Linked DNA regions of Canis lupus familiaris. The protein of the gene in region 2 interacts with the protein of the main gene of each other region in a biochemical or structural test. Links are inferred from orthologs where the notes say so. Each region holds a gene or a part of one and is shown on either strand. Other genes may lie near its edges.

Region 1 (3,820 bases), on a different chromosome or scaffold from region 2:
ATGTGAGGTGAAGTCAATGTTATAAACTCTGAAGATGGTGAGATCGGCAGAGGGAAAAATAAAACGCTCTTTGATCTTGCCTTAGAGGCACCTGCCAGTCATGTTGTAATTCTCTCTTTGGAGGCTGATTTCAGAGGGCTACATACTGGATTCTGGCATGGGAGCATGGGAGTGGTTTCGTGGGCATAGCCCCTGTTGTTGGGTGTCTGGAATCACTGGTGTATGTCTCTCTCTCTTTCTCTCTCTTTGACTAATTTTATTTCTTTGGTGTGTCCATAGGTGTTCTCTTACTCAACGCTGTCCTCACCGTCCGGGCACATCAGGCTAATTCTCATAAGGAGAGAGGATGGGAACAATTTACTGATGCGGTAGTGTCCTGGCTAAATCAGAACTCCAGTGGCCTTGTCTTCTTGCTCTGGGGCTCTTATGCTCAGAAGAAAGGCAGTGCCATCGATAGGGTATGGTTGTTTTGTTTTTTAAATACTTCAAACCTGTTTAGAAAATCTTAGGAATCCCTGCTTTGTGGTCCTGGAAAACCCATGTCACAAGGTGAAGTTTATTTTCCCTAAAGGCTTATAGTTAGGGTTAGGTTTCCCATTGAAAATTAAGCAAAATTCAGACAAATTATAGGAACAACTAACTTAGTTGTGTTTGAGGAAAGCAAAGGGCCAACTTCTGAGAGTTAGTATACAATAGGCATATACTTGCCAGATACATAGAATGATACGGGTATCATTCATTTAACAAATGATGCGGTAAGTAATGAATAAGGCAAGTACCCTACCTCCTCAACCCACCCTCCCTCTGTCTCCCCTGATATGCTCCTTCCCTGCTCCTCCGTTGACCCACATGCCTGGTGCTGAGATTAAAAACCAGAAGCCATCCTTGAATCCTCTCCTTTCTCTTCTCCCCTTAAGCCTACTCTGCCAGCAAATCCTGTCCCCTTACCTCCTGAGAACATCCCAGTCCTGCTGCTCACCGTTGAGACTGTTACTTCTCTCCAGGCTGTGACAGACTGTGGAGTTGATGGTTGGAATGGAGGACAGCGTGGTGGAGGAGGAGCAGTGGGGGAGGTGGTGGGAGGCAGGCATCAAAGACGAGCCTTGGCCTGGGCTGCTGGGGGACACAGGATTCATTGCAGTGAGTGAAGTAAAGGAGTTAAGTGAGGTTGACAGTAGCTTGTGTGTTGGCAGGAAGCAGCTGGTGTGTCAAGAATGCCCAGGTAGCCCTTTTCCTACAGAATCTCGTTTAACAATTAAAGTATCAATAAAGTTGTAGTGTGTGGCAGGGCAGAGATAAGAACCTGCTTGGGAGTGTGCAGAGCAGCAGCCTGCTCACATTGCTCACCTAAGGTCCTGCCGGGGGTGTGCCTGCAGAGCCCACCCCAGGGCCAGGAGTGTGTTCAGGTTCCATGCCTGCAACCCAGTCCCAAGTCTGTCCACTTGACCCTTATTGTCCACTTCTCCATTTTCTCTAGGATGGAATTGGTTTTTATCTTAGTGTTTTGGTTTTTTTTAAAAGATTTTATTTATTTATTCATGAGAGAGAAAGAGATGCCGAGACCCAGGCAGAGGGAGAAGCAGGCTGCATGCAGGGAGCCTGACGCAGGACTCGATCCCGGGTCTCCAGGATCATGCCCTGGGCTGAAGGCGGCGCTGAACTGAGCCACCCGGGCTGCCCTTGTTTGTTTGTTTTTAAGGTAGTGGGTTCACATAATTAAATAAAATAGGATATTAGGGTACACGGTGAGAAGTTTCCCAGCCAGTCCTGTCTGTTTAGTGGTTTCCCAGGCTCAGGGAGGCACCGGCTTTTGGTTTCTGACATGTCCTCCCCATGTCTTTATGTGAACGGCAGTAGAGTGTGTGAATCAGGGGAGGCAGCTGCTCTCTCTACAAAGTTTCTGTGTGAACGAACAAGGTGTTTTCAGGTGTTTTGAGGAAGGGAATGGTAGAAGTAAAATCTGGCGGGAATGAACTAACTGCTAAGATCTGATCATCTAGGTAAGATGTCCGTGGAAGTGATTCCCTTCTGTGTGCTTTTGGGAGATTGATACTCCGTGTGTGTGTGTGTGTGTGTGTGTGTGTGTGTGATTTTTATTACTGAAAATGGTTTGGTTTGATTGGAAGCAGTTGTAAAAGTAGCTTGGTGATTAGAAGCCAGGTAGCTTTCCTGAGCATTAGGTCTGTATTCAGCTGTCTCTTTATCCACGGCCCCTCAGCACACCTGATTCCACGTTTTCCAAGGTAGGTTCTCCTTTGCTCATCCAGCCTTGCCAATCTGGCTCCTGTAGACTCCCCCAGGATAGAAAGTACAACCGTGCATTTGTCCACTCAGAAATCAGATAGCATTTGTGACAACCTTCCTCCCTCCCACCCCTCTTTTTCCCTTCCTCTCTGCTCACCACCTGTCTGCCCTATCTATCCCATACCCAGTCAGGCATTCATAGCCTCAGACTCCTCATCTGGCTGCCTTGGCCTCGATTCAGGCCCTCATCTGACCTTGGTCCCCCTGAAGGCCCTGCCTTGGGAAGGTGGGCTGGGGTCTGGAGCACTAGCAGGGCCCTGGTCTGCTTTCTTAGCCACAGCTCCTCTCTTCCCTACATCCCACTTCCCTGCCTGCCTCTGAACATCCTGGCTCCCCTCTCCAGAGGCCAATTAAACTCCTCCTTCAAAGCTCAGCACAGCTCACATTTCAGCAAACCCCTCCCCCCCCCCCAGGTGCACGGCAGGTGGCATGCTAGTAAGCACTTGACCCCTGTTACTTCTCACAACACACATGGGCATTGTTCACTCCTGCACAGTGTCTCCATAAGTAAGGCTCTCTTCTACCCCCTTCACAGCAGCAGAAGGAAGTGCAGCCGCAGGAGGCGGCAGAGGCAGAACTGGAACCCAGGCCTCTGGGAGCTGGACTCCAGGCTCCTCAGCATGTCAGGCTGCCTGGCTTCCATTATGGCCCCTTCCTGGACTTAGCTATTTGAAGGCAGAGAGATGTTGTGAAAACAATTAGTTGTGAGATGGTTTTTATTTAAATACAGAAGAGAAGAAAGAAGAAAACAAACATCGTCCACAGTCTTCTTGCTCCACAAAGTATGGCCGACATTCAAAAAATCAAAGTGTTGTTTTTCTTGACAATTCAGGCTGATGCACAGTAATGCAAAGCTAGAAGTAAAATGCCTTCCACTATTTCTTTTCCCTAATGGAACTGCTATAAATAGCATATTGGATATTAAGAAAAAAACAAATATGCAATTACCTATTTTCTTTTTCATCTAGTTGATATATTTAGGTCTTCCCTTACTAGCATATGTAGCTCAGCCTTACTCTTCTAGTAGCCTTGTGGTGGTCCATTATAAGAAGTTCAGAAAAATGTTTTTAGCTAGTGGCATAACACTGGATTTATTTTTATTTTTATTATTTTTTTTAAGATTTCATCCACTTATTCATGAGAGACACAGAGAGAGGCAGAGATACAGGCAGAGGGAGAAGAAGGCTCCATGCAGGAAGCCCAGTATTGGACTTTATCCTGGGACCCTTGGGATCACGCCCTGAGCCAAAGGCAGACGCTCAACCGCTGAGCCACCCAGGCGTCCCAGCACTGGATTTATATTAGGTTTTACCTGGTATAAGCCATGCTGCCGTGGGCCTCCTTAAACCTATGTTTTCGTAGAGGTGTACGCATCATGGGGCCCTTTAGCAACTGTATTCCTTAGCAACACGACTGCTGGATCACAAGATCAGGGCACTGGGCAGTTGCAGAGATGGTGGCTTCAGAGCCAAATGTGCCACTCGTGATTCCTTCTCTCCTTGTCTTTCAGAAACGT
Region 2 (3,820 bases):
CCTAGAGGGGTCAAATACTGGAGAATAAGACGCTGCTCAATAGCAGGGGTCATAGGATAAAGGGTATAATTGGTGCCAATCACCCAAGGTGACATTTCTGACCAGCTGCTATTAGACAGCTCAACAAACATGCGATCTGGATCAGACGTTGAGAAACCCAACTTCTGCTTGGCTTTCCTAAAACTCTCTCTGTCACCCTGTTTTGCTGCCTTGTTTTTTCTCAATCCTCCTTCCTCAGGTTTGGCTGCTGAGTTCACTCTACTACTGGTCTTGTGGCCTGAATCAAGATGAAAAGAGATCTCCATGTCCCCAGAAGCTTCCTCTTGTTCGCCATCCACTACATCTACAGCCATGTCACCATAGTCCATATCCACAGCTTCTTCATCCAGAGGTAAAAGAGGTTCAGAGGAGAGCTTTCGTGGGCTGGGACGCTTGTTTTCTTGCCGTAAAGCCACTTCCTGAAGCTGCAGCTCCCTCAGTCTTCGAAGTACTATTGCCACCTATCAATAGATATTGGAGTAAAAAGCTTTATTTCTCCTGCATCTTAATTTAAAGGATTCTTAATAAATATTCTTATTTCCATTTAAGGAAAACTAAATCTTCAAGCAGTCATCTTAATATCTGGAAATGGTAAAGACTTAATAAATATTTTGACTTTATTTCTATAGTTTGATAAAATAAGCAATAGCTAAAAGTCTCATTCCTCATAAAATGTCCCAGAAAACCTAAACCACATTTACATATCACACATCTTTCACAATTGATCTACCTAGATCAAGCTGGGCTGGACCATCACACCTAATGAGGAAGACACCAGACATATTCATGATTTTTAAAAAGTATCTTTGAAAATAAAACATGAAGGTTTTCTCAAACTTGTACCTGTTATAAATTGTATTGTTAGATACTGCCATCTACATAATTACATGATCTAGTTTTCAAGTTTACCGCTTTTTCACTTTTTCTTTTAAGTATTTATTTTTTGGGACATCTGAGTGGCTCAGCAGTTGAGCGTCTGCCTTCAGCTCAGGGCATGATCTGAGGATCCGGGATTGAGTCCCACATGGGGCTCCGTGTGGGGACCCTGCTTCTCCCTCTGCCTATGTCTCTGCCTCTCTCTCTCTCTCTCTGTGTGTGTGTGTGTGTGTGTGTGTGTCTCTCATGAATAAACAAATAAATCTAAAAAAAAAAAGTACTTATTTTTTTAAGCCAACCCTAAAATGTAGTAGTATGCTTAGTTTTTAAAAAAAAACAGGGGCGCCTGAGTGGCTCAGTGGGTGAGCATCTGCCTTTGGCTCAAGTTGTGAACCCTGGGTCCTGGGATTGAGCCCTGCATCAGACTCCCTGCCTGCTTCTCCATCTGCCTATGTCTCTGCCTCTCTTTCTGTAAAATCATAAATCTTTAAAAAAAGTTATCTGCAAAAAATGGTGGATGAATAGAAAGAAAGGTGGGTGGATGGGTATACAATAAGTATACTAAAACATTCACAAATAATTTAAGTGGATGTATATAGCTACTATCTGTAAATTCTATTTTGCTATATGCTTAAAATTTTCATAATGCAAATATTGGGAAAAGAAAGGGGATGGTACTATTCTTTACCTAGTACAAACTATCATGATCCTTGGCAAAATGGAAAATGTCTATTTCAAGTTAAAAAAAAGTAAAATCAGGGACGCTTGGGTAGTTTGGTGGTTGAGCATCTGCCTTTGGCTTGGGTTTGTGATCCCAGGGTCCTGGGATCGAGTCCCACATCGGGCTTACTGCAGGAAGTCTGCTTCTCCCTCTGCCTACATCTCTGTCTCTCTCATAAATAAATAAAATCTTTTTTAAAAAAAGTAAAATCAAAACGTGAAAAATAATCTTCCAATATCGAAATTATAGCTATACTCCAATACAAAGTAATGAATAAGATCTACTATCTGAGTTCAGGTAGCAAGAAAAAACTTGTGAATATGCTCCAATCTTATACAGAAAGAAATTCCAACATAATCCTTACCAGCTGTGAATTCTCATCCCTATAATTGGCAGCAATATCTTGATTCTCCATAGCACCTCCTAACAATCCAGTAGAATACGTCCTCAATGGCTGATCAGCCTCTCGGGCCCATTTGAAAAGATTCTCAACGATTCCTTCCTATATAGTAAAGAAAATGAAATAGTACAATTCAGCAAAGATCATTTTCATAATTAAAGATATAAGCAAAGATTTCAGTCTTGTGAAAAAAAGTTAATAAAATACTTCAATGCTGCTTATAAGATTAAAAAGCACAAGTAAACTAAGTTTCCAAATGGTTTAGTTAAAATAGCTATCCATCGGGGCAGTTGGTTAAGTGTCTGCCTTCAGCTCAAGTCATGATCTCAGAGTCCTGGGATTCAGAGCCCCACATCGGCTCCCTGCTCAGCAGGGAGTCTGTTTCTCTCTCTCTCTCTCTCTCTCTCTGTCCTTCTCCCTGGCTCTTGCTCTCTCAAATAAATAAATAAAATCTTAAAAAAAAAAAATAGCTGAGCATCTGTGAAATAGATTCCTATTTAGCCATTAAAATCCAAGCTAAAGGTCAATAACCACATAATATAGTCCTACATTAGATGTTTAAGACCCAAAATGTTCAATAATCAAGTACGGAGCACTAAAAATTCTATGTCCTCCTTTGAAATTCACAATGCACAATTAACAATATTAATGAGAAGTCATCCATCAAAGAAGTACTTAACTCCACATATCCCAAACTTATTTATTATGAAATAATACATGCAAACATATATAATCCAAAGAAAATGAAAATCACCCATGATCTACCACTGAGATTAATAAAAACCTTCCCTATGTCCCTCTTTGTGCCACTCCTATGCTCTCTCCCCAAAGGGTATCTACAGTAACGGAATTTTAACAATTTTCCTATTAAACTTCTGTTAAATGTATCATACTTTGAATTATATAAACCCCATGGTACTGTATTTTTCTTCAACTTATTACTCAACATGTTTTTTACATTCACCTATAGTTACATGAAGCTGTCACCCACAGCATTCAACGTAAGATAGGCTTTGGACATAACTACTTATTAATTTCTCGGGGCACCTGGGTGGCTTAGCAGTTGAGCATCTGCCTTCACTCAGGTCAGGATCCTGACATCCTAGAATCGAGTCCTGCATCAGGCTCCCTGTATGGAGCCTGCTTCTCCCTCCCTGTGTTTCTCATGAATAAATAAATTCAAAAAAAAAAAATCTTTAGGGATGCCTGGGTGGCTCAGCAGTTGGGCAGCTGCCTTCATTTGGGTCATGATCTTGGGGTCCAGGACTGAGTCCCACATCAGGCTCCCTGCGAGGAGCCTGCCTCTGCCTATGTCTCTGCCTCTCTCTCTCAGTCTGTGTCTCTCATGAATAAATAAATAAATAAATCTTTTTAAAAAACTTATTAATTTCTCGTATCAACCCTATATGTTTGGGTAAGTACCTGCAGAAGAGAAAACGGAGTCACAATAAGGTTAAGAAATATGAGTGGCAGAAGGGTGTCTGATCCCAAGTAGCAACCTCCAGATGTTCTTCACCTCCATATTTTGCTGCTATTTTGTTAGTTTAAGCAACTACAACTATTTTTGTGCAAGCATATCCCTAGGATGAAATCTAAGATCAGAACTGCTAAATCACAGGATATGTATGCGCTCAACTTTACTGAAGGATGCCAAGTTATCTTCCAATGTGACTGCAACAATTCATATTTCCAACAACAGTGAATAGTTCTTTTTTCTACACCTTTGTCAAAACATGGCCACTGTCACACTTTTTATTTTCCACAGTCTGGTGGGTATAAAAACA

Evidence for each region.
Region 1: of the proteins of DCAF1 (region 2) and UNG, one has a biochemical effect on the other in vitro, tested with the Homo sapiens proteins (2 studies listed by BioGRID, with this or other methods). The link is inferred for Canis lupus familiaris from reciprocal best matches to the Homo sapiens genes DCAF1 and UNG.

What each region holds. Positions count from the first base shown.
Region 1 is NC_049247.1:18,254,981-18,258,800, reverse strand, and holds part of UNG (uracil-DNA glycosylase), read left to right. Parts: intron 1-279; coding exon 280-458; intron 459-3,814; coding exon 3,815-3,820. UniProt on the Homo sapiens protein: Uracil-DNA glycosylase that hydrolyzes the N-glycosidic bond between uracil and deoxyribose in single- and double-stranded DNA (ssDNA and dsDNA) to release a free uracil residue and form an abasic (apurinic/apyrimidinic; AP) site.
Region 2 is NC_049241.1:38,547,083-38,550,902, reverse strand, and holds part of DCAF1 (DDB1- and CUL4-associated factor 1), read right to left. Parts: intron 2,139-3,820; coding exon 2,001-2,138; intron 501-2,000; coding exon 1-500. UniProt on the Homo sapiens protein: Acts both as a substrate recognition component of E3 ubiquitin-protein ligase complexes and as an atypical serine/threonine-protein kinase, playing key roles in various processes such as cell cycle, telomerase regulation and histone modification.